Oryctolagus cuniculus: one gene and its partners. The protein of the gene in region 1 interacts with the protein of each later gene in a biochemical or structural test. Links are inferred from orthologs where the notes say so. Each region holds a gene or a part of one and is shown in the gene's direction. Other genes may lie near its edges. The genes, in order: TOR1A, TOR1AIP2 and TOR1AIP1.

Region 1 (4,096 bases):
GGTTCTTGTAGAAGCCGAGCAGATGGTGACCAAGGATGGCTGTCGGGGAGGTGACCGCTGGGCCCCCGCTGTCTCAGCACTGCCCACGTGTCCGTTTCGTCCCATCTCCTTTCAGTAACCTTGGGGGGAGAAACTGCGGCTGTCCCTAGTGTGCCGGTGAGGATGAGGCTCGGGCAGACGGGCGCCCTGTCCCGTGTCCCCGGTGCCAGAACCGGAGCTTGTGTTGCTCGCTGCTTCTCTCATGAATGTCATCCGTACCTTTGGCCTTGAACCCCGGGAGGTGGAGAGCCGGCAGGACGGGTGCCGACTCACAGACTAAATCCTGCACGTCCCCAATGGGGGCCGGCGGCCCAGAGCCTGCGCCGTGCCAGCTTGCAAAGCCACTCTGGGGGACCCGCCTGGGAATCAGGCAGACCGGCTGGGCTGCTGCTCCGGTCACAGGCAGGTGCCAGATACCCCCAGGCTTACTGAGCACCTGCTAGGTTCACACAGCCAGTGGGGAGAAAGACATTCCCACCCTCACCCAGCTTCCCCTTTTTTATTATTATTATTATTTAAGATTTATTTGAGAGGCAGAGAAAGAGAGAGAGAGGTTTTCCATCCGCTGGTTCACTCCCCAGATGGCTGCAACAGCCAGAGCTGGGCTGATCCGAAGCCAGGAGCTTCCTCCAGGTCTCCCACGCGGGTGCAGGGGCCCAAGCACCTGGGCCATCCTCCACTGCTTTCCCAGGCCACAGCATAGAGCTGGATCGGTAGTGGAGCAGCTGGGACTTGAACCAGCGCCCGTAAGGGATGCTGGCACTGCAGGCAGCGGCTTTACCCGCTACACCACAGCACCGGCCCCCAGTTTACATCTTAATGTCAGTAAAGCCTGTCAGATGGTGGGAGATAACATGTGTGCCCCCCCCCCCACAGGTGTATGTATGTTCTCTTCTTGCCCCCAGCGGGGAGAAGAAACTAAGGAAGGATCTGGGGGTGCTGGGACACGCATAAGCTGGATCTGAGTGGACAGCTCCCTGGGAGGGTGGGAGGGAGTGGGCCGACGAGGCCCTGCAGTGGGCACAGGCCAGGAGTGGCAGCTGCTCCGGGAGGAAGTGGAGGTGAGCAGGGCTGAGAGCGGGGGCGCAGGTTACGGAGGCCTTGGGTTTGATTCCAGGTGGGAGAGGCGCTGAGGCTTCCGAGCAGGTGGTGGCTCGGCTGGCGCTGGGCTGTGCCGGCTGCCGGGGGCGCAGACCGAAGGCAGCAGGGGCCAGGAGACCGGCGCGGTAGCTGTCGGGTGGGGCGAGGTGCTGGGATTCTGGGGTCTTGGAGGTCGAAGTGGGGACTCCCTCGGGGCTGTGTGGGGGAGGAGTGTGGCTTCAGCGGCTGGAAAGGGACACTGGTGCGGGGCAGGTCAGCCGCGTGAGGGTGTGTAGGGCCTCCAGGCAGGGGCGCGAGCAGGAGGTTGGCCGCTGTGGTTTGTCGGGGAGGCTGCGCGGTGGGGGTGCCCCTTTGGGCATCAGCAGTAGGTGCTTGTGCAGCCATGGGCTGAGACCCCAGGTGTTACTTTTTAAAAGATTTCATGTCTTTATTTGAAAGGGTTACAGAGAGGGAGGGTGAGATAGAGGTCTTCCATCCGCTGGTTCACTCCTCAGATGGCCGCAACGGGCAGAGCTGAGCCAGGCCAAAGCCAGGAGTTCCATCCGGGTCTCACACGTACGTGCAGGGACCCATCTCTGGGCCATCTTCACTGCTTTTCCCTGGGAGCTGGTGCCCGTTTGGGATGCCAGCGTTGCGGCTTTACCCGCCACGCCACAGCGCCAGCCCTGAGGTCCCTTGTTCTGCGAAGCTTCCTGTCTTGGCTGGTCTGGTCCTTGTCACTCAGACTGCGTCCGGGGGACACCCCCCCCCCCCCCAGCCAGCCCTCGCTGCGTCTACACTGCTCACCTGGCCCACTCTCCAGTGTCCCCAGCACCGCCTGAACCTGTGAATTCACTGGTTTGTCCCCTGTCTCTGCACCCAGAAGGGGAGACCCATGCGGGCAGCGTCCACCCTGGCTGGCTCTCTGCCCCTTTCCCAGGGCCGAGTGGGAGTCTGCACGTGGGAGGCCTTCCAGCGAGCTGGAGGGGGCAGGCAGCGTCCCAGCCCTCACCGCTCCGTGTCAGTTCTTTCCCAGGGCCACAGGTGAGCCCCGCCCGGCCAGTCCCGCCTTTGGTCGGCACCAGTTGTGTGCACAGCAGTGCTGGTTGGGGGAGCAGGGTCAGAGGACGCTGAAGCGAAACGGCTCAGGGGGAGAAAGCCGTGGGGTGCTGGGCGCCCCGTGGCCGACAAGGAGGGAGCGAGTGTTGGGTCAGGGTTCCAGGAGCCTGGAGGGGGACTGGGCAGGTGCAGCGCCAGCCCCTGTGGGAGGGGGACACACGGCACGGCCCCTGCCCAGAGGGACCAGGTGCACTTGTCTGGCCCCTCCCACTGCTGGGAGCCGATGGAGGCCCTGGACGAAAGGGCGTGGCCGGCCCAGCCCTTCCCTGGGAACCCGCCCCTCCTTTCACTGTCTTGAAACTCTGCCAGCCTGAGAACCAGCTTCCTCCCGGCCGCCTCTGCTGGCCCAGGCCTCCTGGGCCGCGAGCCCCTCTTCACCGGTGGGCAGTCGCATGCGTGGAGCCCCCCTGGGCCGCGAGCCCCTCTTCACCCGGTGGGCGGTCGCGCCCGTGGAGCCCCCCAGGCCCCCTGGGCCGCGAGCCCCTCTTCACCCGGTGGGCGGTCGCGCCCGTGGAGCCCCCCAGGCCCCCTGGGCCGCGAGCCCCTCTTCACCCGGTGGGCGGTCGCGCCCGTGGAGCCCCCAGGCCCCCTGGGCTGCGAGCCCCCTGCAGGTGGCCAGGCGCTCCCTGGGGCCGGTGCGAGGGGCACAGAGCGGCCGGGTGTCGGACAGGACAGACAGACGGCGGAGGGTCGGTGGGGACAGCACCTTCTGCTCCTCGCAGGTGGCTTCTGGCACAGCAGCCTGATCGACCGCAACCTCATCGACTACTTCGTCCCCTTCCTGCCGCTGGAGTACAAGCACGTGAAGATGTGCATCCGGGTGGAGATGCGCGCCCGGGGCTACGCGGTGGACGAGGACGTGGTGAGCAGAGTGGCCGAGGAGATGACCTTCTTCCCCAAGGACGAGAGGGTCTACTCGGACAAGGGCTGCAAGACTGTGTTCACCAAGTTGGATTACTACTACGACGACTGACAGCTGACGGCTTCGAGTGAAGGAGGAACAGCCCCGCCCGGGAACCGGACAAACCTCGTCTACACTGCTCTGAGCCGCAGGCTGTCGCCGCTCAGGGACGGCGGACATGGACGCGAGGCCCTCGCGCCCAGCTCCCACAAGCGATCATGATTTTTTTTAAATTATATTTTAATTTCAAGTGTTTCTGTTTCAAGGAAGGATGAATGTTTTACTGAAAATGTGGTAACTTTATTTAAAATGGTTTTTAACATTATGAGAAACTTTTTAGAATGTAAGCTGTTGGCTTTTATTTTTTTTTTAATTATTCATTTATTTGAAAGATGGAGTTACAGAGGGAGAGACAGAGGCAGGGAGATCTCCCATCTGCTGGTTCGCTCGCCAAATGGTCACAATGGCTGGGGCTGGGCCAGGTCAAAGCCAGGAACCTGGAACTCCATCCAGGACTTCACGTGCGTGCAGAGGCCCAAGAACCTGGGCCATCCTCTGCTACATTCCCAGGTGTATTAACAGGGAGCTGGATCAGAAGTGGGACGGCTAGGGTTTATTTATTTGACAGAGTCATAGACAATGAGAGAGAGACAGAGAAAGGTCTTCCTTCCGTTGGTCCATCCCCCCCCCCCAATGGCCGCTACGGCCGGCACTGCGCCAATTCGAGCCAGGAGCCAGGCACTTCCTCCTGGTCTCCCATGGGGTGCAGGGCCCAAGCACTTGGGCCATCCTCCACTGCCTTCCCGGGCCACAGCAGAGAGCTGGACTGGAAGAGGCGCGACCGGGACAGAATCCTGCGCCCATATGGGATGCCAGTGCCAGAGGTGGAGGATTAACCAAGTAAGCCACGGCGCCGGCCCATATTTATTTATTTTTAAAAAGATTTTATTTGAGAGG
Region 2 (3,642 bases), on another chromosome or scaffold:
TTTTCTGTCATTCGTTTCTATTTCTTGTCTTTACTAAAGAAACAAAAGTTGTCTTTTTTTTTTTTTTTTTAAGATTTAGTGATTTATTTGAAAGGCGGGCAGAGTTACAGAGAGGCAGAGACAGAAAGGGAGAGTGATCTTCCATCTGCTAGTTCACTCACCAGATGGCTGCAACCGGGAGCCAGGAGCTGCTTCTGGCTCTGCTGTTTGAGTGCAGGGCCCAAGCACCAGGGCTACCCCCACCCCAGGCACAAGAGCAGGGAGCTGGATGGCAAACAGGGGAGCTGGGACCCAAACCAGCGCCCAGAGGGAGTGCAGGTGCCCGCAGCGTCCGCAGCCCCAGCCCAGCAGAGGCTTGTTCCTGGACTTTCCCACATTCGGGGTCTGCTGGTTGCATTCCTGAAGCTTGATTAGACACGTTCCTCTACCCTGCGTTTCTGGGGAACTGGTGGTCAGTCCTAAAAGATGATGCGATTGCAGTCCAGTTGTTGAGCAAGAACACCTCACAGGAGGAATCGTGTCCTTGCTACTGATGCTATCTGGCTTTTCCTGTTTTTGTGCTACTAAGGTTGATCAGTGGTTTCGGTTTTCGGTCTGGATTGACCTTTTACACAAATAGTTTTACTGCCGCTGATGGTCATTGCCTTTTGTTACGGAAGGGGATATATTTAATACTACCAAGAGTTGGTTTGATCACTTGAAATTGTTTTACATTAGTGTTATCTTTATTGAGAGCCCAGAGAAATAATATTTAGGAAGATGCCTTATAAACCACAAATATAGTTGTCCATCAAAGACCTTGATGGAATATAAAAATAGGGAGACATTTTCTCCAATAAAAATTGTGAATTTTTATCCCGGTAGACTCTCCAAAGGATTTGGAAAGTGAGCCGTCAGTGGATTCTCACGCGCAGGAGACCGCAGTCACAGCAAGTCCCCCTGCAGAGACTCAGGCCCTGCCTCCTGCCTCTGATCTTGACAAAGACCACCAAGAGGGTCCAGAAAGTGCAGACGCAGGCGGCACAGCAGAGGGCCCGGGTCCAGCAGACTTTGGAGACCATCCCAAGGCTACAGCAGAACCTGAGAGCAAGCCCGGTGTCCCGGATGGAGAACAAGGACATCAGGTGCCTTGGGGAAGTCTGGGGGGAGAACCCCTGGGTCTGGATCCCAACTGTTCTCCAAGCGACGAGGTAGGGAGAGCAGGTGCACAGCCGGGGAGCAGCTCTGTGGCCCTCCCCGAGGGAGCGAGTGACGGAGCTGCGGCTGCTTTGGGGGCGCCTGCCGCAGCCTCCCAGGAGGCCCACGGTCCTGGTCCTCGCAGCGCAGGTCTGGACAGCCGGGACGCGTTGAGGAGGCGACAGCCCGCAGCAGGTAAGAATCTACGCAGGAGCATCCAGGGGTGTGGTGCTGTTACGGAGGATGCAGCACAGGTCAGGGCTTCTCCGAGAACTTGGGTGTCTCACAGATGAAGGCCCTTGAGCCTGGCCCAGATCCCCTCTGATACGGGGCGCGGGGGTCAGATCCTGGCTGCTCCGGTAGGGCTGTCATTCGTTCATCTCCAGAGTAGACGTAACTGGAGAGGGAGCAGAGCTGTGTCCTTTGCACTCATCGTGTACCTCTGGCAATAAGCACATAGATCAACTCTAGGAATATACTTCGTTAAAGATTTATTCATGGGGCCGGCACTGTGTGGTGGGTAAAGCCGCCACCTGCAGTGGCCATATCCCATATGGGTGCCGTTTCAAGTCCCGGCTGCTCCTCTTCTGATCCAGCTCTCTGCTGTGGCCTGGGAAGGCAGTAGAGGATGGCCCAAGTCCCTGGGCCCCTGCACCCATGTGGGAGACCCAGAAGAAGCTCCTGGCTCCTGGCTTCGGATCAGCACAGCTCTGGCCATTGCGGCCATCAGGGGAGTGAACCAGCAGATGGAAGACCTCTCTCTCTTTCTCTCTCCCTCTCTCTCTCTCTGCCTCTCCACTCTCTGTGTAACTCTGACTTTCAAATAAATAAACAAATCTTTAAAAAATTTTATTTATATATTTGAAAGTCAGAGTTAGAGAGGGAGAGACAGGGAGAGAGTGATTCCTGTCTGCAGGCTCTCTTTCCAGAAGGTCTCAACAGTCAGGGCTGAACCAGGCCGAAGCCAGGAGCTTCTTCTGGGTCTCCCACACGGTTGCAGGGCCCCAAGGACTTGGGCCATCTTCTGCTGGTTTTCCAACCATAGCAGAGAGCTGGATCAGAAGTGGAGCAGCCAGGACTGGAACCAGGGCCCCTGTGGGATGCCAGCACTGCAGGTGGCAGCTTTACTTGCTATGCTAGTTAGGCCAGTACTGGGGTTTGTGCTACAGGAAACTAGGGCTGGGCCGAAAGAGGGGCTCTGGGACCGAAACCTGGAGGTCTGAAGTGAAATCACACTCAGTGGATTAATTTGTTAGATTAGCCTTGTTCTTTCATATCGACTGAATTTAGCCACAGTGCCAGATCCTAATTATAGAGCAGACAAATGTTCTGGAGACTTCAACAGTACAGCCCTGATATCGGCAAATACACTGCATCTTTAAAAGGAGATGACAGACAATCCTTAGAGTTGTGAAATAAAGCTGGAGGGAATGTTACTAGTTATGGGTAAAGCTGGAACTTAAGTTCTTCATCCTATAGGAATGTATGAGAGGGTCAAAATAATCCAAGTAGATTTTTCAGAAGGGAAAGTGGACATTTTTATTTAAAATCTTTTACTCTGGAAGTTTTCTTTTTGGGGCCAGTGCTGTGGCACAGCGGGTTAACGCCCTGGCCTGGAGCGCTGGCATCCCTTATGGGTGCCGGATTGAGGCCCGGGTGCTCTGCTTCCCATCCAGCTGTCTGCTGTGGCCTGGGAAAGCAGCAGGAGATGGCGCAAGCCCTTGGGGCCCTGCACCTTGTGGGAGACCCGGAAGCAGCTCCTGGCTCCTGGCTTCGGATGGACCCAGCTCCAGCAGTGTGGCTAGCTGGGAAGTGAACCATCGGATGGAGGGCATCTCTCTCTCTCTCTCTCTCTCTCTCTCTCTCTCTCTCTCTCTGCCTTTCCACTCTCTGTGTAATTCTGAGTTTCAAATAAACAATAATTAAAAAAATGAAATTTTATTTTTTAAAAATATATTTGTTCGTCTGAGAGCAGCAGAGTTAAAGAGAGATGGAGTGTCAGAGAGGTCTTCCATGTGCTGGTTCACTCCCCAAATGGCTGCAGTGGCCAAAGCTGCACTAACTGATCTGAAGCCAGGAGCCAGGAGCTGCTTCTGGGTCTCACACAAGGGTGCAGGGGCAAAGCACTTGAGCCATTTTCCAGTGCTTTTCTAGGCCTTTAGCAGAGAGCTGGATGGAAAGAGGAGCAGCTGGGACATGGACGAGCACCCATATGGGATGCCCGTGCCATAGGTGGAGGCTTAGCCCACTATGCCACCATGCTGGACTGTACCATGGAAGTTTTTAAATCTATAAAGTAGGCCAGTATAACATTCCTTATGTTCTCAATATCCATCTTCAACTATTGTCAACATAATGCTAATTTTGTTTTCTGCTGAGGATTATTATAAATTCAGAACATATCATGTTATTTGTAAAAATTTATGTCTTAGAGATTCTGTATTTTTTATTTATTATCATTTTTTA
Region 3 (3,642 bases), on another chromosome or scaffold:
TTAGTTACTGTGAGGTTCTCATCATTCGTATCTTGGAAAACCTCCCGTTTTAATGACAAAGTAAGATGTACTGATTACTCAGTAATCTGCGAATCTCACCTCTGATGGGTCAGGACACAGAACCTCTCCTCTTTAACAGGCCCCCCAAATCTACGTTTTACAAGCCTATATAGAAGTCCGTAGTCACCTGTACCGGTACATGTTTTAATAAGCCTCTTAATGTATGCATTAATGCTCATCATATGAACCTTAGTAACCCTATAAAATTTACATCTTTTAATAATTGTAGTACACCTGTTAAAAGAGCTTTCATTATTACGTGGTAATGAGTAAAGCAAAAGCCACCTCACAGAGAAAGCAGTACTTACTTAACACATAAATAAAAGCCAGGTATCACCAAGTGCCAGTACTTTCCAGTATTTTTGTCAGAAATCAGTCAAGTGCACAAGTCACTCCCAGCATCAAATGGATCGCAACGTTACTAAGAAGGCGTTCGGTTCTCACGGCACACAGGCAGCGCCAACAGCCTCCCTAACAAAGCCAGGAGCAGGCGCACGTCTGCTACCAGCACGCTTCGCCGACGGAAACCCACCCAGCGAGAACGCCAACATGTCGCACCTGTCCAGCAGGTGTTTTGCGTTTAGCCCTGGGTAGCCTTCTTCATTAGGGGTTTGAAACTAAAACTCGCCCTGAACAGATGCCCTAGGCAAAAAGTATCTGATCCTCTCACCGTCGTGGGGGCACAGCCAGGTAGCTGTCAATCAAAAAAAAAAAAGTGGGGGAAGGGGTTCCAGAAAAAGTGCGCAGCAGGCGGGGCGCGAGGACCCTTGCACTGGCGCTTGCAAGTCGGCCCGGCCCGGCCGCGGCTCCTTCGCCCCGCCGCTCCCTCCCTCGCGGCCCAGGACAGCGACGTCTTCCTCCCCCTTCTCCTCCTCTTTGGTGCCTGCAGCCAAGAGGCGGGAGTGACCCTCCGAGCAGCTGACCCAGCCAGGCACTGCCTCTAGCACAGCCCGCAGGACACACCATGGGCCCAGGGGCAGCTTCGCGGCACAGCAGCGACGACGCAGGCGGCGGCCCCGGCGACTCTCAGCTGCCTCCCTGACCACCGCGACCACCGCTCGACACCCCCCCACCCCCAAGAGGCGCCATCGCCACCGCCGGCGGGAGACTCTCGGGACCGCAGAGCCATCTTCGCAATCCACTCGAGCTACGTCAACAACCATGGCGGGCGAGGGGCGGCGGGCGGAGCTGGCGCGGGAGGGGTGGGGGCTGTACGTCACGCCCAGGGCCCCTCTTCGGGAGGGACGGCCTCGGCTCGCCCCGCAAAATGGCGGCGGCGGTGACGCGCCTGCGCACGGAACGCTTCCGTCGCGCCAGGGCCGACGGGAAGTGAGGTTTTCCGAAGAGCCGCCAGAAGTGTACGGCGACTTCGAGCCCCGGGTGGCCAAAGAAAGGTCTCCGGCGGGAAGGCGAGTCCCGTCAGAAGAGTTCCGGCCCGGTTCTGGGAAAGAGGAATTGAGAGAAAGCGCCTACTACCTCCGGTCTCGGCAGCGGAGGCCGCCGCGACCCCGGGACGCCGGGGAGATGAAGACGCGAAGGGCGACCCGCCAGCTGCAGCAGCAGCAGCATTCCCCGCAGCCCCCGGCCCAGGCGTCTCCGATTACGACGCGGAGAGGGCTGCGAGACTCTCAGTCCTCTGAAGGTGCGCGCGGCGGAGGGAACGGTGCCGCCGCCGGCGGGGCGGGCGCGCGCCATGGGGCCCCCTCGGCCCGCGGGTCGGGGAGACGGGGCGAGGGGGTCGTGCGGGCCCCCTGCGCGGGGCCGGCGAGCTCTGCGCGTCCCTGGCCATCGCTTCAGGGGGGTGGGGGTCTCCTCCCGGGCCGGAGGGGCCGGCGGGGCGGGCGCGCGCCTTGGGGCCCCCTCGGTCCGCGGGTCGGGGAGAAGGGCGAGGGGGTCGTGCGGACCCCCTGCGCGGGGCCGGCGAGCTCTGCGCGTCCCTGGCCATCGCTTCAGGGGCGTGGGGGTCTCCTCCCGGGCGGGGCGCTCCTCCGGCTCGCTTTCGTTTCAGTTCCCGCTGATGGGTTCTGGCGGAGCCACTTCCATTTCCTTTCGTGCCCCGAGGAGTCGGGATCGGATCTAACGCTCTAGTCCGTTCCCCTCCTCCATCCGCGTGGGGAGGGAGGGACGGGAGGTGGGGGACGGAGAAGGGGCGCTTCGCGGGAGAGTGCGGTGGCTGAGTGGAGACCCCGCCCCAAGTGCTTGCACTGAGATGGAAGTGAGGACCCGGGCTGCCCCCTCGGCGGCCGCTGGGCAGGGGGCGTGTGTCCGCGTGGCCCGCGAGCGTGCGGCACAGGAGTGTGGTCAGCCCCCACGGTGTCCGCGCGGCCCGCGAGCGTGGGGCACAGGAGTGTGGTCAGTCCCCACGGTGTCCGCGCGGCCCGCGAGCGTGGGGCACAGGAGTGTGGTCAGTCCACACGGTGTCCGCGCGGCCCGCGAGCGTGGGGCACAGGAGTGTGGTCAGTCCCCACGGTGTCCGCGTGGCCCGCGAGCGTGGGGCACAGGAGTGTGGTCAGTCCCCACGGTGTCCGCGTGGCCCGCGAGCGTGGGGCACAGGAGTGTGGTCAGTCCCCTCGGTGCCCGCGAGCGTGGGGCACAGGAGTGTGGTCAGTCCCCTCGGTGTCCGCGTGGGGCACAGTCAGTGTGGGTCAGTCCCCACGGTGTCCTCGTGGCCCGTGAGCGTGGGGCACATGAATGTGGGTCAGCCCCCTCGGTGTCGGCGTGGCCCGCGAGCGTGGAGCACAGGAGTGTGGTCAGTCCCCACGGTGCCCGCGAGCGTGGGGCACAGGAGTGTGGTCAGAACCCACGGTGTCCGCGAGCGTGGGGCACAGGAGTGTGGTCAGTCCCCTCGGTGTCCGCGTGGGGCACAGTCAGTGTGGGTCAGTCCCCACGGTGTCCTCGTGGCCCGTGAGCGTGGGGCACATGAGTGTGGTCAGCCCCGCGAAGCCCGGCCCTCGCGCCCACGCCCGGCCGCCAAGGCGCGGGCAGGGGAAGCTGAGGCATCTGTGAGGTGCGCACGGGCCCTGTGATGCAGACAGAGGCCGAGGGTCAGCCTAGGTCAGCCCAGGTCAGCGGGCCGGCTGCCGGGTCGTCGCGTATCTGTCAACAGTCGGCTGACGCCTTTGAAGACTTCTTGGTCTCGGGTATAGACACCCAAGACCGTCTGCCACCTCTGTTAGCCTCTCTCTCTCCGAAGATTAGAGACTTGTTGAAGGCGAGGGCCCTAACACATTGACTAAATAGTAACTTAGGGACTTGTGTTAATTTTGTTTCTCCTCCCCTGCTGGGCACCTGGTAGGCCGGCTAAGCACCTGTTACCTCGTGTTGACTCCCCCCCCCCCCCAGCCTGATGCAGTGAGCACTTTTCTAAAACATATAAAGAATCGATCTCTATTTTAGTATATCTTCTCAACATTTCACTCTTCCAGCTGCTCTCTTCATCATTTTTGACACTATAGTCCATCTTTTCTTTTAAAAAATGGTTGTAAAGAGAACAATTTCATGTATTTCATAGGTACAATTCTAAGATAACCATTCTTCCCTCCCGTTTAATTTTCTAAAGTATTTTCTGTTGTACAGCAACAA

Evidence for each region.
Region 2: the proteins of TOR1A (region 1) and TOR1AIP2 form a complex in vitro, tested with the Homo sapiens proteins (4 studies listed by BioGRID and IntAct, with this or other methods). The link is inferred for Oryctolagus cuniculus from reciprocal best matches to the Homo sapiens genes TOR1A and TOR1AIP2.
Region 3: the proteins of TOR1A (region 1) and TOR1AIP1 form a complex in vitro, tested with the Homo sapiens proteins (2 studies listed by BioGRID and IntAct). The link is inferred for Oryctolagus cuniculus from reciprocal best matches to the Homo sapiens genes TOR1A and TOR1AIP1.

The regions. Positions count from the first base shown.
Region 1 is NC_091432.1:232,659,154-232,663,249, reverse strand, and holds the end of TOR1A (torsin-1A), read left to right. Parts: intron 1-2,960; coding exon 2,961-3,211; 3' UTR 3,212-3,486; downstream 3,487-4,096. UniProt on the Homo sapiens protein: Protein with chaperone functions important for the control of protein folding, processing, stability and localization as well as for the reduction of misfolded protein aggregates.
Region 2 is NC_091438.1:7,999,577-8,003,218, reverse strand, and holds part of TOR1AIP2 (torsin-1A-interacting protein 2), read left to right. Parts: intron 1-864; coding exon 865-1,371; intron 1,372-3,642. UniProt on the Homo sapiens protein: Required for endoplasmic reticulum integrity. Regulates the distribution of TOR1A between the endoplasmic reticulum and the nuclear envelope as well as induces TOR1A, TOR1B and TOR3A ATPase activity.
Region 3 is NC_091438.1:8,030,298-8,033,939, forward strand, and holds part of TOR1AIP1 (torsin-1A-interacting protein 1), read left to right. Parts: 5' UTR 1-1,221; coding exon 1,222-1,702; intron 1,703-2,977; exon of another isoform or gene 2,978-3,085; coding exon of another isoform or gene 3,086-3,200; intron 3,201-3,642. UniProt on the Homo sapiens protein: Required for nuclear membrane integrity. Induces TOR1A and TOR1B ATPase activity and is required for their location on the nuclear membrane. Binds to A- and B-type lamins. Possible role in membrane attachment and assembly of the nuclear lamina.